2 linked regions of the Oreochromis niloticus genome follow. The protein of the gene in region 2 purifies or fractionates together with the protein of the main gene of each other region. This does not show direct contact. Links are inferred from orthologs where the notes say so. Each region holds a gene or a part of one and is shown on either strand. Other genes may lie near its edges.

Region 1 (10,128 bases), on a different chromosome or scaffold from region 2:
GACTGACAGAACAGGTACTGCCTTTCATGATCCGAGCGCCCGTCCTGAATTCGATAGAATAGAATAGAATAGAATAGAATAGAATTCAACTTTATTGTCATTGCACATGCACAGGTACAGGGCAACGAAATGCAGTTTGCATCCATCCAGAAAGTGCTTTAGTCGTGATATAGATATATTACAATATAAATTAGCAATAATAGAGATGTGTAAGTATATTACAGATGTTGCAAACACAAAGCGCTTCATGATGATGCATAACCAGCACAATACAAAACATCTCATAACGTTAGCGCTCAAGAAAGGAGAAAAATTCATCCTTAATGATGAATACTCCCTCTACCTTGACTCCGTGATAGGTCAGGTGAACCCAGGGCTCCTCCGCCTGCTTCTTCTGAAGGAACTCGTATGACTGGATCCTCCTCTGTCGGGCCTGTTCCGACTCGGGACGAGCAAACCTCACCTGGAGCACGAGCAGGACAAACTTTAAGACTTAAATCAGTGTAATTATGAGCTTGTATGTAAGCGCGTGTGTCTAAGCATTTACCGTAATAGCCTTGGCTTCCTCCTCAGCTTCATCCTGGGAGGAGTCTCCACCTGTACACACAAGACTCTGGTCAAATAACTGTAATCATACCTGCTCCTACCATGATGTTTGAAGAAACATCTAAAAATAAACGTAAAATACTTTAAAGCGGGGATGGGCAATTAATTTCTCCAAAGGGCAAATATTAAAAAACTGGGACTGTTGTGGAGGGCTTATTGGTGTCGACCTCCACAACAGTCGCAGTTTCATATAACTGCCCCTCGGAAAAATGTAAAGAACAGCTAAAATCTGATTTTAAAACAATCTTAACTCCAGTAAGGATGACATTTGGCAACCTCCCTTGTACCCTAATAGAAAAGTTTAAAACCTCAGTGAAGAGTTTCTGGGGTTTTCCCCAAGGCTAGCTGCATAGGCAGAAACTATCCTTACTAACTTCTGATTCACTCACAGTCAGTCTGTTCTGTAAGCAGGTGTGGAATATGACAAAAATCACTCAGTTCAGGAAAGATCAAGGTTTTCTAGGAGTAAACAATTAAAGTTTTCAAACAAAAGATAAACTGTGTATACTAAATAATCCATCTCAGAATTTAATCTGGAAAACAGGAAAAGCAGGCACACCTTCATTGGCCGCCTCCCTCTCTCTGGTTTTGTTGTCAGCCTTGTCCAGGTAAGAGAAGCTGGGCCTCATCTGAAGAATTCCAGTCAGAGGTGTGACGTGAAGCTCACCTGTTAACGCCATCAATAAAACAACCAGATCATAAATCCTACTCTGATTGGAGTAGGATTAAACAGATAAAAACAAAGCCAAAACACAAACATGGTGCCACAATGAACTGCACAGGCTGCTGAACACGTTAATCAGGTCAGACCTTTGCGAAACACAGCAGCTGCGTATCTGGAGGTGTTGGTGGTGGCCTGGATGGAGGAGAAGGTCTGCTTGTCCATAATTTTACTAGAAATGGGGGGGGGGGGATGAACAGTCAGACCAGAAACAGGACCTGAATCAAAGAAGAGTCTATAAATAAACGGACATACGCAGAGTAGGTGTTGGTTTCGTCATAACCCGTGCCGTCCACATTTAGGGCGATTTGCTCTCCTTTACTGCGACAGTAGTTTGGACTCACTGTGTCCATGGATATTTCCAGCTCCACCTGTATAAGGAGCCGTACATAAATGATCAACAACTACAAACACCCGATTTAATGACTTTCAACATTTCTGAAAACTTCCAATACAAAAAATCTTATCTTATAATTTAACCTGATGTAACCAATTAACTTGAGAAATTGGTGATATTCAATACTTTAAAAATTTATCCTATTCACACATCTCCCCTGAAACGGAAACATATTTTCAACAAAACACAAAATACATCAACATCAGGTTTTTGGTTACCCTTTGCTGCTTGGGTTTGATCTTAGCCGCCAAGTGGGTGACATCATCATAGGTCATGGTGGCTGGTCGCACAGGGTACTGCATCAAGGGAAAGCGGTGAACTCAATTAGTGACTCTTTGAACATTACACATCAATCCCACCCCAGACGGTGCAGATAAGTTAGAGAAACTGCTCACACGTGGGCTCGTGAGGTCGTGCTCATCAGCGCACGGGTACTACAAAGGGACAAGCTCACCTGGAAAAGATACAGCTTATCTGCAAGGCTTTTGGCGAGGTACACGTCGATCTAGAAAAAACACAAACGTAGATCAAAGTCAAACAGGCTGACGTAAGGAGCCAACAGCCAAACCAGACTTTCCTCCAAAGTTCCCCAACTCAGGGTCATAGCAGGGTGAGAGGTTGGGTACACCCTGGACAGGTCGCCAGTCTGTCGCAGGGCTAACACAGAGAGACAGACAAGTAGGGCTGCAGCATTTGAATATTTAAGTAATTCAGTTTGCATTGATCCAAAGTGTTTGTGCTGACTTTATGGTGATGTAGATGTTAATAATTTGTGTTAATTATAATTCAGTGTCCAACCAAACAGCCACAGGTCATTGGCTCAGAGTTTTCCTGGCCATTGTATGTTATAAAAAAGCTTTTATTTTTATATTTTAAATATTCATAAAATTTAATTAATGCAATCTTTTTTCCTTGATTCTAAAAATTTTTGTTAGGAGAGCCCTTAAATAAATATGGCTCAGTACACCCCATGCCCTCTTTAGATTCCCCTCTGCATGCTGCAGGTATCACTGCAAGACAAAGTATGAAAGTTGTCTTTAGCAAGTTGCCTGATTTAAACATCGTATCAGACTTAGTTAGCAGTTAATCTGCATAATTTAATGTAACGCCTGTAATCTCTTTGTGGTGTGTTTATGTAGACAGAGTCCGGGCATGTCTTTGGGCTGAGGGTCGAGTACTCTAAGAGAACATGCAAAAACCACAGTAAGATACTAAATTCGAACCCATGACCTTGTTGCTGAGAGGCAGGAGTGCCTCATAGCTAACCACCGTGCCACCAAGTAAATAATAGATTATTAAAATCAGCTGTCTCCACTTAGCTCAAACAAATCCTTTTTGTGCTGACAAATCAGCTGCCAGAAGTAGTCAAGCCATGATCACTAATGAGAAGTTAATGAACCTTGTCCCTGTCAAGTGAAAAGGCACTGCAGAACCTTCAGCACCAATTACTAAAGTACATATTTAAAGTAATTAAATATGTATGCTGTACAATCATTCCACCCTGGAAAATGATCACTTCAAAGAAATAATTAAAAGCCAAAAATTGCCACGACAGTCATGCCGATGACGACTGTATGTAAACTTCTCACTACAACCATGAGTATAAATGCTGATATTTGCTGCCAGGTGATTTTATTACCTGTTAATACACCTAACAGAGACTATGCATGGGAAACACCTGGGAATTGTTTACTGCCCGTGAGGCTGTGTTCACACTGATAAACACAGAACAGCAATAAAAGGTGCACAGGGCAGAGAAAATGCTGTATCATACTTGATTAGGTCAGTGAGACGTATAATATCCTTTCACTTAAGCCTGTAAACATACCTCCTCTATAATGGGGTCATCATCATCACCGCTGGCCATGTTGATGTGATCAGAGCAAGAAGGTGAGAGGGGCAAATCTTGGGGGAGAGGGGAAGGGGGTGGAACCTGGAAAAATAAAAGACAAACTGGGTTACAGGAGCTAAACGTCCGGCTGCACATTCCTGTTACTGTTATGGAGTGGCTACACCCAGACTGGCAACAGAGGCACTAGATGACAGGAACTTAGTGATCCGGCACATTACAGTTACATCACAGTTCAGTCAGGAGGTGTCAGTATTGGTAATAGCCGATACTATTCAATTAACCCAACAAGTAAACCATAAGACGCTAAAGTAGTCAACTTCCTATGGTAACCTGTCATGTGATGCTTTCACGGACACACAGGTAAAATCCACATGATGCAACACAGCAGTAAAAGACTCCTCCTCGTAGAAACATAACCCTATCAAACACTGTGTCAAGCTAATAAAAAAACCGTATGACGCCAATTTACTGGCTGACTATATAGAGTGTTTATGGTTAAGTTAGCTCCATTAGCAGCAAACCCTGTGAGCATTTATCACAGGCCTACACAACACAGCGGGTGATTTTTTTATTCCTATGTAAAAACCAACACCAATATAAAGAAGATAGGATACACAGCACTAAGTTGAAGATCTGTTTCCTGTAAACAAAAGTACAAGCAACGACATTAGCTACCAAGGCGGTAGCTAGCAAATGTAGCCTAGCGTGAGCTAGCTTAGCATGGCGTGCTTAGTTAAAATAACACAGATTCAATCAGCGGGCCTGATTTTAAATGTTCTTTATGTAAGAATAGCAGATTCCTCCCTCACCTGCACACTTCACCGTTCAGCTTTAGCTATCTCATCCGGGTGTAGCTAGCCCAGGAACGTGGTGCAGAGAGCTGCTGCTGAAGTGGAGTTTAACTCAAGACAGCTGTAGTCTACTGCCGATGTGATACCATGTTGACTCTGCTCCACACAGACACGTGGGGAGGAGCCCGCGCCCATAATGCACAGCGAGTCCGCTATGCGCTTGTGTCATTATTTTTGTACGCTTTTTTATTCATTACCAACTACCCCTAGGTATTATTTGTGGACAATTTAAGTTTTCAGATGAGATTGTTTCGTGAATAGAACGGGAAAAAAATGTATCCTGGCAGCGGTGGGATTCGAACCCACGCCCCCGAAGAGACTGGAGCCTTAATCCAGCGCCTTAGACCGCTCGGCCACGCTACCGTTGTGATACGACGTATCGAAACAGAGGCTAATAGCGAATATGAAGCCCCCTGACTATAAAGTTTGGGTTGTACCCGTTTTAAATGGAGTTGAGACAAAAATAATGTAATATAAAATCCAAGGACATGCAAAATATACCCTGAAGTCTCCTGGGCAATTAAAAATAGAAAGTTTCAATTATTGCACTTCTATTGAGTTCTTTTTTTGAGACTGCAGCAGCAAATAAGAGGATAAACGTGTCCTCAATAGACAGAGAGGAGTCGTTACAGACTTTAACTTCAAATCACGTCTGCAGCACAGAGTCAGCCTTCCTAATCAGCTTCTTCAGCTTCCTAGTGTGAGTGGATCTGCTGTTAATACAACAAAAATAGTGTAAAAACGTAGAAATTTTCATCGGGGTTGAGGTTGGGGCTTTTGGGAAGGCTTTTCCAAAAGCGTAAAGTCAGTTTTAATGTGTGTTTTGGATCATTTTTCTGCTGGAACATCCAGTTGTGTCCGAGTTTAGTTGTTAATTTGAACTGAATCTAAAGTAATTATTCATTATTTCATCCACTTTGTGCAGTATACCCCAGAGCATGATGCTACCTCAAACATGCTTGACAGTTTGTACGTCATCTGTTTGAAAACCTCATGTTTATTCTGAAAACATGCCTCTTGCCATTGTGGTCAATTAATGACATACTGCAGCTCGATCTTTTTCTTAGTTGACCATCAAATTTCTTTCAATAAGGGATTTGGCTTGCCCATGTGGGACACTGCAAAATTCTATCAAGCTGATTTTGGGGGCTTCTTTCTTCCTCTCAGTTCATGATGTAAAACCTGCACTGCAGCAGTTTGGAGTTCATGGCAAGCTTTAAATCTGGTGGTTCCCGACTACACCGACCAATTTTCCTCTCATCTGAGGATAATAATGTGGGTCTTCTTCCAGGACTTGGCAAAGTGGTGACATACCTCTGAGCTCTGGGATCAGAGAAAAGTGCAAAGAAAACCAAGACTAGTGAGTTGAAGCATTTCACTGTTTTCTTTTGTCCCGTAACCAAACTGACTGCAAATTAACTTATTTTAGTTAATGGTGCAAAAAACTAAGGTAAATTGTTTCTGTTATGATACAATACACCCTAATTTTAGGTTACAAGAGTCCTTCCACTAGTTAGAAAAAAATCACAACAGGATCATGATTGGTAAAAAGAAAGGCAAACTTTTATTTTACAGTTTCATATTCCAAGCACTTTTCTTTATCACATATATTCTCTTAAACATAAACATGTTAACATCTGGGTCAAAATAAGTAAATCTTTTTTGATAGGTCAGACCTTTTCATTCGTAGAATCACATTAACTTAACTTAACTAAAGGTTAATATAGACATGAAATGAAAGAAATGAGGAGCCAGGAAATCTAGCTTTACAACCATACAGAAAGAATTCTGAAGATAAGTCTGATGCTGAATGGCTCAACACACATCAAACGCACACACAAACAAACCACCAACAGCAAAAAAAATCTGTCATAAAAACAGTAATGTAAACTGAAGTCATTCAGGTTTTACCCAGAATGTGTTAAAAAAAGAAAAGAAAAAAGAAAAAGAAAAACAGCCACACATCAAGTCTCGTGGCCTTTTTGGAGGTTAAAATTAATTTCTTTTATGTCGTGGAGTTACTCCTCCATTTGTGCCCAGGCTTCTTCGGCTTTCATGTAGTACTGGTTAGCCAGTCGACCCTTCATGGCCGCCATGGCAGCTTCTGCAGCTTCAGTAAAAAGGTCACCTGCAGGAGAGAGACAGCATGAGATGTTACAGGCAGTCGCTCCACCAAACAGAAATGAACACCAACCCCACGACCATCATGTGAGACTAAAGCTTCTCCGTGCCACAGATCAAAATCACAAGCCCTACTGCTTCACTGGGAAAACAACGGTCAGACAGAAACTGGTGCAGGATTTCTTGAAGTTAAAATTCTGCACTCGGGTTGAACCTGCTCTCTGTGGGTCTGCAGCGAGGTTGTGGCCTCCCTCCTGGTACATCTCTGCCTCTCTGGCCAGCAGAAGGTGGCGAGGCTCGTCCTGGGTCCCATCGAACTCTCCTCCCTCGTCGTAGTCCATCATGTTCAGCGCACTGTTGTACCAGTGAACCGCTTCGGCCCAGTCCTGCTTTCTGTGAAGGCAAGAGGATAAAATGCTTTAACTCACAAATCACCACCAATTAAAAAAAAAGAAACTGTAAAAATCCAACCGGCCACAAGAGGGCAGTACTATCGAGTAAAGTCATCCCCTTGGAGCAGGATTCCTATGTCTCACCTGAAACATCTGCTTTGAATGAACCTTCACTCACCTGTCAGCAGACAGATTGACTCCAGTATCAAAGGCTCTGGCCACTATGATCATAGAAGATCTGTCGCCAGCCTCAGCAGCCTGCAGCAGATACTTGAAACCTCTCATATTGTTTCCTGCATTATCCTGCCAACAACACACGCACACACACACACACACACACACACACACACACACACACACACACACACACACATCAGAATATAAAGCCACACTTGTGAAGTTAAGCTGAACAGTAGAAAGGAAAATAGATGGCGCACAGTACCTCCAGCTCCATGTCTGGGAGTATATGATGAGGTAGCTGCAGAAGGCACTGTCCCAAGGCTACGATGGCCTCCAGCTCTCCACACATGGCGGCTCTCTCCAGGTGGTACATGGCCGACTCCTGGTCCCACTGCTCGTCCTTCTCGCAGAAACGACCTGCTTCGTGGTACCGCACCATCGCCAGGTGGACCTGGGTGGGAGATCCAGAATATAAGCGCGTGAAGCATGTCGAGCTGCCTCATTGTGTTTGATTTGCTATAGGAGGAGTTTGGACTGAACAGAATGCTTTGCCTTTTATTGCTGGAATCAAAGAAATATATCAAAAATGGTAACAATGTAAGTGTTTTTAGTGTTGATGGGACCAGAGTTAAATAGCGGCACGGAAACATTAAATTAACTAATGTTTCCTCCTCTTACTTTTCCAAGAATCGACTGGCCGATCTTCTTCTGCAGCAGGTTGTTGAGTCGTTCCACCTCGGTGGCCACACAGGAAGGTCGGTGGACGTGAGCGCGGGATGAGTGATAGAAGGTCCACTTCTCCTCTGTCAACTGAACAGAAACAGGCGCCAAAGATCCAAGACAGAAAAAAAGTTACCATCTGATATTCATTGCATGAAATATATTATGGTTGAAAAGTCACACTGCAGTCTCAGAGGTGTACCCGTCCAGGAAAGTCTGCTTTGAGCTCAGAGCTGGAGGAGTACACCCCTGTTAATGCAAAAGGAGCGCACACACAGACACACACAGTTACAGAGGTGAAAATAAGCGGGATGGCAGAGCAGGCGAAGGTAAAGGAGGTCGATGGTGTTTCAGTTCCAAGTATCACTTTTTATCTCCAGTTATTCTGTATTTTCTGATCGTTTTCGTTCACTGAATAAATAAAGCAGGCGTCAACAGGAAAATAGCGACAGTGAGTTCAATCCACACAAATCGGAACCGTTTGAAAAGCAGAGCCATCATGCTGGAGGCAAGGATTATGCTTCACGGCCAAAAAAAAGACTGCAAAGCGCTGCACAGGGAAACACCTGGCTCAGGAGCTTCCATGCAAATAATCACCCATTCGTTGTCAGGAGTGTTTAAATTTAAGTTTGCAGAGACTCTTGGAGGAGCTACCATCTTCCTCTAGTGAGAGGAAACAAAGAGTAGGAGGAGTGGAATTAGAGGAGAGGTGAGGAGGGGCTTTCATGGTTAAATAAGTGATGGGAAAACAAAAGTAAAGATGATGTTAAAAGGGAAATTAAAGTAGTGTTATTTGATTACAGTGGTGATGATGATGATGATGATGATTAAGAACGAGGAGAGGAAGGGATTTAGGGATATTTATGTTTCTTTACCCGTCTGATACTTTCCTCATCCGACTCTGAATATTGCCTGTTGTAGCGATGATGGATCTATGTGACAATATGACATGGACTGTAAAACCAGCTGTCACGAAATCTAACAAGTGTTGAATAAGTGCATCAATGAGGCATGTCGAAGCTTGTAAGAGGACGTTCACAAACTGGATCCAAAAACGGGATTTAGATCACAGGAAAAATACATTTATTTAACTAAAAGCTTCCTCTTTCCATTCCTGTTGAACAAAGACAAAAATCTTTACCCCGTCTATGTGGTCATTTGGGTCTCCTTCACTCCTCCTCTCGCTCGGGTAGCCGCTGTCCCCGCCGTTTTCTGATTCCTAAAGACAAAAATTAAGACAAGAAATTCTGATTCCTGGTGGTAAACCTCTGTCAACAAGTCAGATACACAGATATAGTTTTCAATAATGTTTTAAATAATATAAGTAATGCTGTTAATCAATGTGAAGCTTGGGGTTGGGGGTGCGATGATGCAGTGCTCTGTGTTTTTTAAATGTGTTTTCTTTAATTGTCTGTGCTGTTTAGAGCCACTCTCACCGTCAGTTTTTACTTACCCTGTGTTCGCTTGTGTTGCTCATTCTGTCGTGTTCATACATTCCGGTAAAAGACGAGCCTGTAAAATGGAAATAATATGCAAAACCACACCATTTTAGCTCCTCAGCATGTAAGTGATGTCTGAATACTCATGTATCTCAATCTAGATACCTTATAGTTAGCAAATTTCCAGTAACATACAACAACATAAATGTCTACAGTAATCGACTCAACATGAGTACTGTCAATGCTGAAATCCTCCTTCTTGCTTAAAATGGATTATTGGTTCCTCTTGTTTTGCACCAAGTACTCTTAGTGCACTTCATTTACATGTAGCTGTCTGTGTGAATGCTTCTATTCATTCAAAATAGCGAGAAAATGGGAAAATACCAAATCTGAGAATGAATCACAACATAGACTGTATATGAAAGATGGACATGGCTACTGCCTTATCCTGCCATTCTTTATACTAGCCAGCAAGGGCGACTCCTCTGGTTGTAAAAAAACTTTCCAGTTATAAAGAAGTCTCTGCTCACATGATTTGTGATCTCAGTAAACACTTTCCTGATGGGTTTAAGGACTCTATCACTACTTTTAAGCTTCATTTAATAAATCAAATAAAACATGTGGTTCCAATTAGAATCAAATAGAGTGATAAGGAACGATGCGTTTTATAGTTTTCCTTGGTTTATGCATTTGATTCACTCCTCGCTCATTACATCCCGTTTTAAAATACCAAGAGCTTCATGACTGGACGTTACTAACCTACGTCCATCTTTTATATACAGTAACATTTTTGCGTGGTATTGTAGTAAATTGGTCTTGCATGTATTGATTGCTAACTTGCCTACAGAG
Region 2 (10,260 bases):
TAAATCTTCCTTTTAGTTTCCTAAAACTAAAAGGAAGTTTTAAAGTTTCCTAATCTTTCTTTTTAGGGAGAGTCAATCTTTAATCTTTAGGCATTAATTATGCGTGTTTCTCCTTTTACACATGCTTAAGGTTTTGCTCTGTGGTTGTGGATCCCTTGTTGCCTCCTGTGCAGTCAGAATGACATCAGCCAACATGCATTGTTGCTGTTGTGAGTAGGCTGAGGATAAGTGGCCCATTTAGGGTCTGCGGGGGGAATAAATGGAGCCAAAAACCGCAAACAGATTTATTGGAACTGTAATTACAAACCTGAAGGTTCACTGTTCTCTGAGCTACTTAATTCAATTAGCACTGTTTCTTTATAGAACCATCTTCCATCCCAATTATAGCTGCACACATGATGCCTGTGTAATAATGTTAGACTCACCCTTCTTGTCGAGTACAAGGATAATTAAATGTTTGTTTGAGAGCAGCTGCTACGATGTAAGGAAATAAACCTAAGAATAAACATGCCAGTGTGTATAAAAGAAAACTTTATTTACAGTTTGTCTGCAGGTGGAGTCGGTAGCTGTTCTTATGTGCCACAGTGTTTAGTCTTTAGTCCATCCTGATGGAGGAATGAAAATCAACAAAATAAAAGTTTCCAACAGCTTCCTTGTAGATTCTCCAGACCTGAAAATATGCATGTTTTCAGTACTCAGTTCAGTATAATTTTAAGGTTGACTGGTGAACCATGGGTGGGTGACCAAAGGTGTGTTTTAGAAGGCCAGCTTCTTCATGAGCAGGTAGACCCTGGAGTCCACTTCAAAGCCGTGAAGATTGTTGGCATCCCCCTGTAGCCTCATGAGGAGGCCTCCATAAGACACATAAGCAGAGCTGAAAGAAGAAGAACACACAAGAAATTGGAATAGCACAAACCAACAGCAGAGTTTGGAAAGGTTATCACACAGGCAAATTCAAAAGGTATCTCATTTCCACAAATAGTTTCACAGAAAGGTCATGTTCTCTGTTAGAAACACAGTTTTGTTCCAGCAGGTTATGAATTTCAGTAAATACATGACATATAGTCATTTTCAGAAAACTAAGCACTTCACTTACAGACGTGTGGCAGCTTCTGTTGAAGTTTCATCGCCCTCAATCTTGTAAACTTTCCCATACATCACATAATCAAACTGGTCTGCCCTGGAAATTTAAACAAAGTGGAATGAGTGTGAAAGTCATTTTGTAAATTATAGGTGTAATAAAGTACTAACGATGTTATTATTGTTAAAAATGCCAACAAAACAGCATTTTTTTGCTAGAGTTACACAAATTAAAACTTTAAATTGGAAGCAGTTGTCTTACCTAGACGGTCTGTCATCCTGAGGATTGTACTCTCCATCGTCTGGTGTTCCATCTTCATATAACGTGCTGGCAATCACCAGTCTAAACTTGTCACCTTAATGAAACAGGTATATTATAACAAACAGGCTTTATCATATTTTGCATTTGGACACTTTGAGTTACAGATACAACTCTGACACATGGTTCTTTAAGGCTTTCGCTAAAGGTTTACTTATAGAGCTGGGTTCCTTTGGGTTGAGTAAATGTTAATATACAGCTATTACACAACTCACCTGCAAGTGAAAAAGTCAAATATTGAGGGAGTCAGGGGATACATTAACAAGCAATCATATTTTTTTTTTTTAAGTATTACAGTATAATCTTTACTTTTAAAGAGTCCCAGTTTATTCTGATGAAATATTCCAAAAAGCTGACATAGTCATTTGCTATAATTATACTGTATATAGGGCCGGTTTACACTATTGTATTTGATAAAAATTAACTAGCAAATGACTTCCAATTTAAAAAAAAAAAGAAACACAAAGACACACAGGGACAAAAAAAGGTTTTTTCTTACCAAGATCAACAGGATAGATCTGAATGTTCACATCCAAGATGAGGTCCATCTTGAACGATTCACTTTCACAATGGAGGCGAGATACTGTAGAATAACAGTTGCAGAGTTTCTATTAGATAATTTATATGTTTGTTTGTTTTTTTTAAATTAAATTACATTAAAGAAGATCAACAATAACTAAAATAATGCCTCTTGTTGATAATGAAAGTTAGACTGGCTCATGATTGGCCAGAAGTTGTGTTCATGTATTTGAAAGGTTTAATATTTATCAGATCCCTTTCCACAATACATTTCCACTAAAAAAAACTGCACTTGGGTTCTAAATTAAACTTTATCTATATCAAGATGATATTACATTAAAAGAGTGTGGGTCAACGGCTAATAATCTGTCCGTTGTGTCTGAAATTACTAGTAGGGCAGTACAGACTAGAATTTTTTAAAACAAGCCATTATCTGTTGGTTGGTGTTATAATTTCACATTTTTCTTTTATAATAATACTTCACACACCTCTGTCAAACTTCTTGCCATCTGGATCGATATCTTTTACATCAAAAATATCCTCAAAAAGAATTCCAGCCATCTCTCTCCAAGTCTGTCAACCTGTAAAAAGAGGGAAAAATAAAGACAAAAACACGAAATGAAGCCACATTTATTAGACTAAAACCGTTACTAAGACTTGCAACCCACCCTGCCAGTACAACAAACACACTTCACTGAAATTTACAGAAACTTGAGTTTGCTTACTGTTTTTTCTGTGTACTCTGTGCATAACTACATCTCAAAAATCCTAACCTCCAATGACCCATTAATGAGACAACTGTGTATCACAACTTAAAAAAACCCTTTCAAGCCTTAATATTTCGTGCATTTGTTTTTGTAACATGTAACAGTAATCTAATACCTGTTGTTGCTGAATCAGTTAGCCAAAGTATTATGGTCTTGGTTAAGCTTTAACTTTAGCGTCTCTCATTCATGCTAATTGTTAGCCTTAGCATATTGGCCACACGATTGCAAAGACTTACCTCAAATACGATAAAGTTTTGATATTATACTGTAAATACAATGGCGTCGCGTTCACTCGGGTTTTCAGACTGCGACAGCGAGTATTTAATTTTGCGCTAATGTCTTATTTAATCAAAATTTCATTCATTATTATCCCAAACAGACTGTACCGCGCAGAAACAATGTGCTCAACCTTTGACATACAAAGTGCTTCCGGTTTGAAATACGGAAAGAAAAGATATAAATGTAAATATATAACAAAATTAGATAAAGACAGATAGACGATTTTTTTCAACCACAGACAAAAAATAAAACGCATAATTAAAAAAAATACCTGCCTATCTGCTCTTTCTCTACGTTAATATTAGAAAAAAATATAGGTTTTCCAGCTAGTTTAAAAAGTAAAGGTTTTCATGAGATACCTTATTATTGTTATAAGGTTAAAAAGAGGAAAAGAAAATAACAATAATCTGCAAAGAATACCTAAGAACCAAATAGCATCCTTTCGTCATTGTTTACGACATTTGCCTCTACTTTCCAGTCTATTCGGTTGCTAGGTGTTTTTTAGCGTCCTGTCTGTGTACTGTTGCTAGCGAATGGCTATCTAACTAACTTAAGTTGCAACTCAAGACCACAAATCCTCACAAAAATGGACGGTTCTACGCGTGAGCGCCTCGGAAGGGTCAATGAAATGTATTCATCAAGTACCTGATATGCGAACGAGGTAATGATGTTAATGTGCTCTCTTTATGTCACACAACGTTAATTGATGAGCTAGCTTATTAGCTAGCTTGTGACATCTTGACGCTGTGTCTGATGTCTTACTGTGCTGAAAATAATTCACTTTTAATGCAAATGTGCTTGAATTTTAGATTCTAAAGTAAAACTGCCAATCAGTTGTATCTCTGTAGATGTTTTTTCTGTGTGAGTGTGTGTGAGAGTGTGTGTGTTGCTCAAACGATTGTGCTGTCCAATTTAAACAGACCGCAAAATGCTAACTCGGGGCGAAAACGTTATTGAATGAAAGTTGGACTCTTTGCTGTCGGATATTTTGAAGCTTTTCGGTACTCACATGAGTTCCAGGGAGGCAGCCAAGATGGGGGACATCTTGGCAAATGAAGCCGATCTTCTTGGGATGATTAAGGAGGTAGGACGTTTTTTCTGTAAATTGCCATATGCAAATCGCAGTGAGCATTAATAGAAGTGAAGTAATCGAAATGTACAACTTTTATATATAGCGTTTCTACAACTATGCATAGATGACTGAAAGCATAGTTACATTCTGCTCTGATTGAGGTGGTGTGTCACGTGTGTTTATTTGTATTCTTTTCTTTTGTTTGTAGTACCTTAAATTTGAAGAATTTGAAGAGACTCTTCACAGTTTTGAGAAGGAGTGCAAAAGGAAAGGCAAACTCGCCTCAAAGCCTCGAGGGAATACTCTCAATGACTCAAAGACACGTGTCATTCAGGTACACTTTGATTTTTTGTGGAGGTGTGATGGGAAAATGTGGAAAAGACTATTTGACTACAAAATGTAATTAACATGTAAATATTGCAACCTCAAAGCAAGTTTCAAATTGATGTATCTGTATTAATTGTAACGGTCTGTAATAGTCATGTACATATCATGACTCAGTTATTACTGTGCGATAAACCACAAAAAATGTGACTTTTGTAGAAAGACCTTCTAAGCTCATTTGATGATGGAGACCACAGGGTGTTCTTTGAACTGTGGACAGAGAATATTCCCCCCAGAGTTAAAGACACTGATGCTGAGGCCCAGGGACTGGAGTTCTACCTTTACATCCACTTTACAATCTACCCACTGAGGAGGCACCCTGTAGGACATGTATGTATTTACATGTGTATTTATATGTGTATGTGTATGTTAATACTTATGTCATTATGTGCTGTTTTTCATATGTCCACTAAGCTGCGCCAGAGTCTTATTTTCCCACCTCTGCGGCAACAGTTTTGTGGATCTCTTACAGTGTGAAATACCTTTCATCATGAAGTCAATTGGATTTTGAGTTCATTTATTTATACAGATTTTTTTTTTAAAAACCTTATGCTTCTTTTAGCAAAACATGCAATCATAATTGAAGATGTATTGCGTCTTCTTAAGTGACCCCTTAAGCTTACCTGATTTAGTTATTTATTTTTTAAAAATTTTGTTCATGAATTGTTTTTGATGGAAATTTCAAATCTACCTCAAGGACCGTGCTGAGTTTGAAGAGAGGGTTTCCTTCTTCAAGCAGTACCTGGAAACTCGAGGAGAAGCTCTGAGCCAGACCACAGAGTTTCTGCCTTACTATGCTTTGCCTTTTGTTCCCAACCCAACTGTCCACCCATCTTTCAAAGAACTGTTCCAGGTATTACACTTATAGAATATTACCTTGCTTTTTACCATCTAGTACAGTTACTAAGTCACACTGTGAGAATGAACATCATCATATTTCATATTTAGCTTGTGTTTTATGGTTTTAGGATTCCTGGATGCCAAAATTGAGAGATAAGCTGGAGCAGTTCCTGTCAGTGATACTTAAGCCATCTAACAGCCCAAGGCTGATGACTTTATATGTATCCTTCTACTGTGCCTCACTAATGAGCCATTGCTGGGAAAACCATCAGAGTACAGATGTACAAATGGATTTGTGTCTGTCTTGTTTTGATTTCAGTGAGATGGCATTAGCGATATATCTAACAGGATGGCATCTCAAACTAATAGTCACAAAATTATTATTTTCATTCATTGCACAAACCCACGTGACAGGTAAACGGTTGTCAAGTAAAATGTAACTTTTGTCAATTAAATTCTCAATTCCAGCTTTTTACATAAGCAGATTATTAGGTTAGGTAGTTTTTACAGCCTTCAATGAAGGTTATAAAACTTAGCAAATAGTAAAAATCTAGCAATTTCATTGAGGGAATATATGATGTGTAGAACATAAACCCACGAGGAGCAAAAAACTTGCCTTCTTTAGCTGGACTGCACATTTAAATGTAGAGTAAAAATATGTTCTGTAGGTGAATAAGGAATTCTTTAACAACCAGTCTCTTGTAACATGTTTGATCATGTGACAACCTGAGAGGTGGACCACAAAGAGAGATTGATTGGTTAGTGAGTTATGTTGAACTAAAAGTCAGTTTTGATTTAAAATAATCTGGAACTGCCACATTTTTACTTACTTACTACTTACTGTAAAGTTACAGTAATTCAAACTGTGCACTTTTTTGGAGAACACACACACAATCTGAAACACAAAACCTGGCCTAAAAGAGAAAGTTGATAACAATCGTCGTGACAACCCCAACCGGGGTTTTAGATTTTGTCAAGTCAGCTAATGCACCGAAAGAAACAAAGTTATCCTAACCTCCTCAGAGTAGAAGGGCAGGCAAAGGTAATGGAATTATTGGGATACTGGAAACCCACCACATGGACTTTGCTCAGTACATGTTTGTGAAACTAAACTGGCCAACTTTCAGAGCTTTGTAAAATGAAATGCTAAGGGCTGAAAAAAATGTTTCTAGTGTATACAAAATTAACAAGGTTACCAAAAGTGGGAACACTTGAGCATCAGCGTTTTTTGGCTCAGCCAATTAACAACATTTACATGTGCTTACATGACATTTATAGGGTACTTAAGTGAAAACAGGAACACAACCAGTTGTCCTTGTTTGTCGTCCGCCGCCTGGGGTGCATGCACATCTGGTACATTGTAATGTAAAGTCTGTGCTGCTTTCAGGAAAACAGATGTCCGCATGGACCACGCTCAGCATCTCATGATGAAATTTGCGTCACTTGGACTCAAGCGGACACAGAAAGCATAATTGAGGCTTCAGATATTTACTAGTTCCATCTGCAGTCCTGTTACTAATTATTTCATTTGTGTGTAATTCTGGATAAAACAATTAACAAGGGAATAAATACAGGAGAAATGTTTGATTTGTCTCTAAGTATGTGATCTTTAACCAGCTTCATGCAGAAGGAGAGTGGAAGGAGTACTAAAGGTAATTACCCCATCACAGAGTCTACCTTTTTGTGCATTCAGTTTGCAGTTCTTCACCCCTACCCCAACAGCTGTTTCTTAGTGCCAGATATTCATTTTTCCCCCGAATATGTGATATAGTTTTTGGCTTTCTTTCAACTTTTCATAATCTCAAATGGAACAAAGGCTCAAGGCCACACCTGCTCATTAATCAGAAGTAACTACAGTAATACTACAGATAAAGAAGTCATATCAGCGTCACCGATTATACATCTGTTTGCCTAGGTTTTGGTTTGATTCATTTGTCTAACGTGGAAAGTATTATTTACGTAATAACACTCACAGTGCTCTCACTAATAGACAAAAGACATTATGTTAAGTATTGATAAATGTTAGTAGAAAAGTCAATGCTGAGATTGGTGTTGGAGAGGTTGATTAAAAATTGCATTTCAGAATATTGTTTAATTTTTAAATGAGGCTCTTGAGATCTCAAAGGATAACAGGCATTTTCACCTAATGGTTGTAAGCCAGTGTTGGTTTCAGCAGTCTCTGTCTTTTTCTGTTTGTTTGTTTGGTGAATGCACAGAGGCCACACAGCAGTTACAGCTCCAGCTGGCTGAATCGGATCGCCGCATCACCAGCTACGTACGGAAGTTCAACAAGATGCAAGCTGACTACCACAACCTGATTGGAATCACTGCTGAGTTGGTCGACTCATTGGAGGCCACCGCCAGCGGAAAGATGGTAAGGCAGGCTAACTGTGGGACAAACAAGCACACATTCTGTCAGACGTGCAACAAGTACGGAGTACATAAGTGTGGCACGAAAAGAATGTTAGAAAAGAATGCGTGCGCACAGAAAAAACCCACAAATTTTGCGTATGCAAAGTCCAGCGGTGTTCATGCGAGCGCCAACAAGAAAATCTTTTGATGCACAAAATGGATGAAAAATATATGTGAAAAGATTTTAATATTTGGAAAACAGGAATACACTATTAGTACCCTGCTCTTCTCACACGAACAGTATTTTAAAGCTCAGGGGAGTGTGCCTTGTTTTTTCAGATCTCCCCCGAGTACCTGCAGAGTATGTGTGTTCGCCTGTTCAGCAGCCAGATGAGACAGAGTGTGGTGCAGAGCACGGACTTCACCAGGCCAGGCACTGTGAGTCGCAGCACGCAGTCTTCACTCCTTCCCTCTTCTTCATGCTCAGAATAGTAACAGCAACACCTGGCCCCAACTTAATGTGATTTCAATAAAGCATAGAATATGCATAGCAGACGGTGAAGAGATAAGAGCCACAATCAGGGAAAAGTGCACTTAAGGAGTGTTTGCATTATGTACAAAAAGACATCTTTGTTCTTTTTGTGTAAGCTGTGTAGTCATTCTGTTGTGTGCATCCTAGAGTGAGTGGTTCCTGGATCCTGGAGTTGAATAAATACACTCATTGTTGTAAAGTCAAATGTACATGACGCAAATTTCTAATAACCAGTCACAGACATTTACGTAATCATCTGCCTTGGAAATGTAACTATGTTTCTCCCATAAAGACGACAGTTAAAGGTGTCCAGATGAGTCAGAGTTACATTAAAACTTAACTGTTACATTAAAACTGTTATTCAGCCTCTTTTTCTGCCTCTTTTGTGCCACCGATAATCAAAACGTTGTAGAAAAGTTCCCAACTGACCTAAAAAACTGTCCACAGCTTGACAATCATGCTTGCTGTCAGCGGCCTTCATTGTGGTGTTGACCTCTGGCTTGTGAAATCTTGTTTCTTTCTATTTGAACTGAACAACATTTTTTCTGTGTTTTGTGTGTGTTGTTGTTGTTTTGTTTTTTTGCTTGTGTGATGCTTTTGTCCCCAAAGGGATATTACTCTATGAGTCCCTATGATGATGGCTATGTAAGTTTCATATATTTTCATCTTTACATTTTCTTATTGCTCAGGTCCCCAGTTCTCATCTAGCTTCTGCCTTGGTGTCTCCCTTTTCCTCCTGTTATTGTCTGTATGTCCTTCATGACCTCCTAACATATTTCTTCATCTCACCCTCCTGACTACATGTGCACTCCCACTAGATTGTCCCAGTTTAAAAGTATGTTTGGCTTTATTAGCAGTAAGGATGACACCTTTTGTCAGACCGCTTGTTATGGCAAACACAAACGTCTCTCAGGGCATACGTAATCATGACATTCACTCGCTCCCAAAAGATGACAGTTATTGTTCCTCCTCTCAACTCTCCTTAGAGCTTTTAGCTCTCAACTTATCTCTCAGGTTCATTTTTCTTCTCTTATGCTTATTGTTATTTTTGTTTTGTTTGTTTTTTAGATTATAGCCATATAAAATGACAGAACAAGAATGGCCATCACAGGGTGCTTTGATTTAAAAGGATTACTCGCACGCTCAGGTTCTCAAATAGGACAGGTTATATTACAGCTGTTTGAAAGGAAACAACAAGAACACTTCATGTAGGATTCTTAACAACCTTAAAAACAGGCACTCAGGGTCAACATATCATATTTGTTGTTTTTAGGTATAGTTAAACATTAAAAAATGAGCAGTAAACTTTACTTTAAACCAGTGTTATGTAGTGGTTTAAGCATGTCAACATACCTGCTTAGCTTCATAAAGTATTTTTGAGGATAGTATTTTTTTTCTCGTTTAGGCTTGCTAGTTTAATGTACAGGGAGTGCAGAATTATTAGGCAAGTTGTATTTTTGAGGAATAATTTTATTATTGAACAACAACCATGTTCTCAATGAACCCAAAAAACTCATTAATATCAAAGCTGAATGTTTTTGGAAGTAGTTTTTAGTTTTAGCTATTTTAGGGGGATATCTGTGTGTGCAGGTGACTATTACTGTGCATAATTATTAGGCAACTTAACAAAAAACAAATATATACCCATTTCAATTATTTATTTTTACCAGTGAAACCAATATAACATCTCCACATTCACAAATATACATTTCTGACATTCAAAAACAAAACAAAAACAAATCAGCGACCAATATAGCCACCTTTCTTTGCAAGGACACTCAAAAGCCTGCCATCCATGGATTCTGTCAGTGTTTTGATCTGTTCACCATCAACATTGTGTGCAGCAGCAACCACAGCCTCCCAGACACTGTTCAGAGAGGTGTACTGTTTTCCCTCCTTGTAAATCTCACATTTGATGATGGACCACAGGTTCTCAATGGGGTTCAGATCAGGTGAACAAGGAGGCCATGTCATTAGTTTTTCTTCTTTTATACCCTTTCTTGCCAGCCACGCTGTGGAGTACTTGGACGCGTGTGATGGAGCATTGTCCTGCATGAAAATCATGTTTTTCTTGAAGGATGCAGACTTCTTCCTGTACCACTGCTTGAAGAAGGCA

Evidence for each region. The genes of interacting proteins can lie anywhere in the genome.
Region 1: the proteins of polr2h (region 2) and polr3e purify together in Homo sapiens (affinity purification with mass spectrometry; 3 studies listed by BioGRID and IntAct, with this or other methods). This does not show direct contact. The link is inferred for Oreochromis niloticus from reciprocal best matches to the Homo sapiens genes POLR2H and POLR3E.

What each region holds. Positions count from the first base shown.
Region 1 is NC_031973.2:9,905,748-9,915,875, reverse strand, and holds the start of polr3e (DNA-directed RNA polymerase III subunit RPC5), read right to left. Parts: upstream 4,615-10,128; 5' UTR 4,386-4,614; intron 3,658-4,385; 5' UTR 3,592-3,657; coding exon 3,553-3,591; intron 2,230-3,552; coding exon 2,179-2,229; intron 2,021-2,178; coding exon 1,943-2,020; intron 1,699-1,942; coding exon 1,583-1,698; intron 1,500-1,582; coding exon 1,417-1,499; intron 1,274-1,416; coding exon 1,166-1,273; intron 598-1,165; coding exon 548-597; intron 464-547; coding exon 344-463; intron 45-343; coding exon 1-44. Other genes in the region: eef2k (eukaryotic elongation factor 2 kinase), read right to left, coding at 6,446-6,555, 6,763-6,941, 7,119-7,243, 7,383-7,571, 7,799-7,930, 8,438-8,503, 8,716-8,772, 8,982-9,059 and 2 more. UniProt on the Homo sapiens protein: DNA-dependent RNA polymerase catalyzes the transcription of DNA into RNA using the four ribonucleoside triphosphates as substrates.
Region 2 is NC_031980.2:34,412,735-34,422,994, reverse strand, and holds polr2h (DNA-directed RNA polymerases I, II, and III subunit RPABC3), read right to left. Parts: upstream 4,083-10,260; 5' UTR 4,049-4,082; coding exon of another isoform or gene 3,974-4,048; exon of another isoform or gene 3,885-3,973; intron 3,626-3,884; exon of another isoform or gene 3,385-3,625; intron 3,126-3,384; exon of another isoform or gene 2,922-3,125; intron 2,500-2,921; 5' UTR 2,480-2,499; coding exon 2,407-2,479; intron 1,983-2,406; coding exon 1,899-1,982; intron 1,437-1,898; coding exon 1,343-1,436; intron 1,181-1,342; coding exon 1,097-1,180; intron 875-1,096; coding exon 757-874; 3' UTR 503-756; downstream 1-502. Other genes in the region: lisH domain-containing protein ARMC9, read left to right, coding at 3,974-4,048, 4,245-4,370, 4,580-4,750, 5,118-5,273, 5,389-5,481, 6,888-6,912, 7,477-7,634, 7,952-8,050 and 1 more. UniProt on the Homo sapiens protein: DNA-dependent RNA polymerase catalyzes the transcription of DNA into RNA using the four ribonucleoside triphosphates as substrates.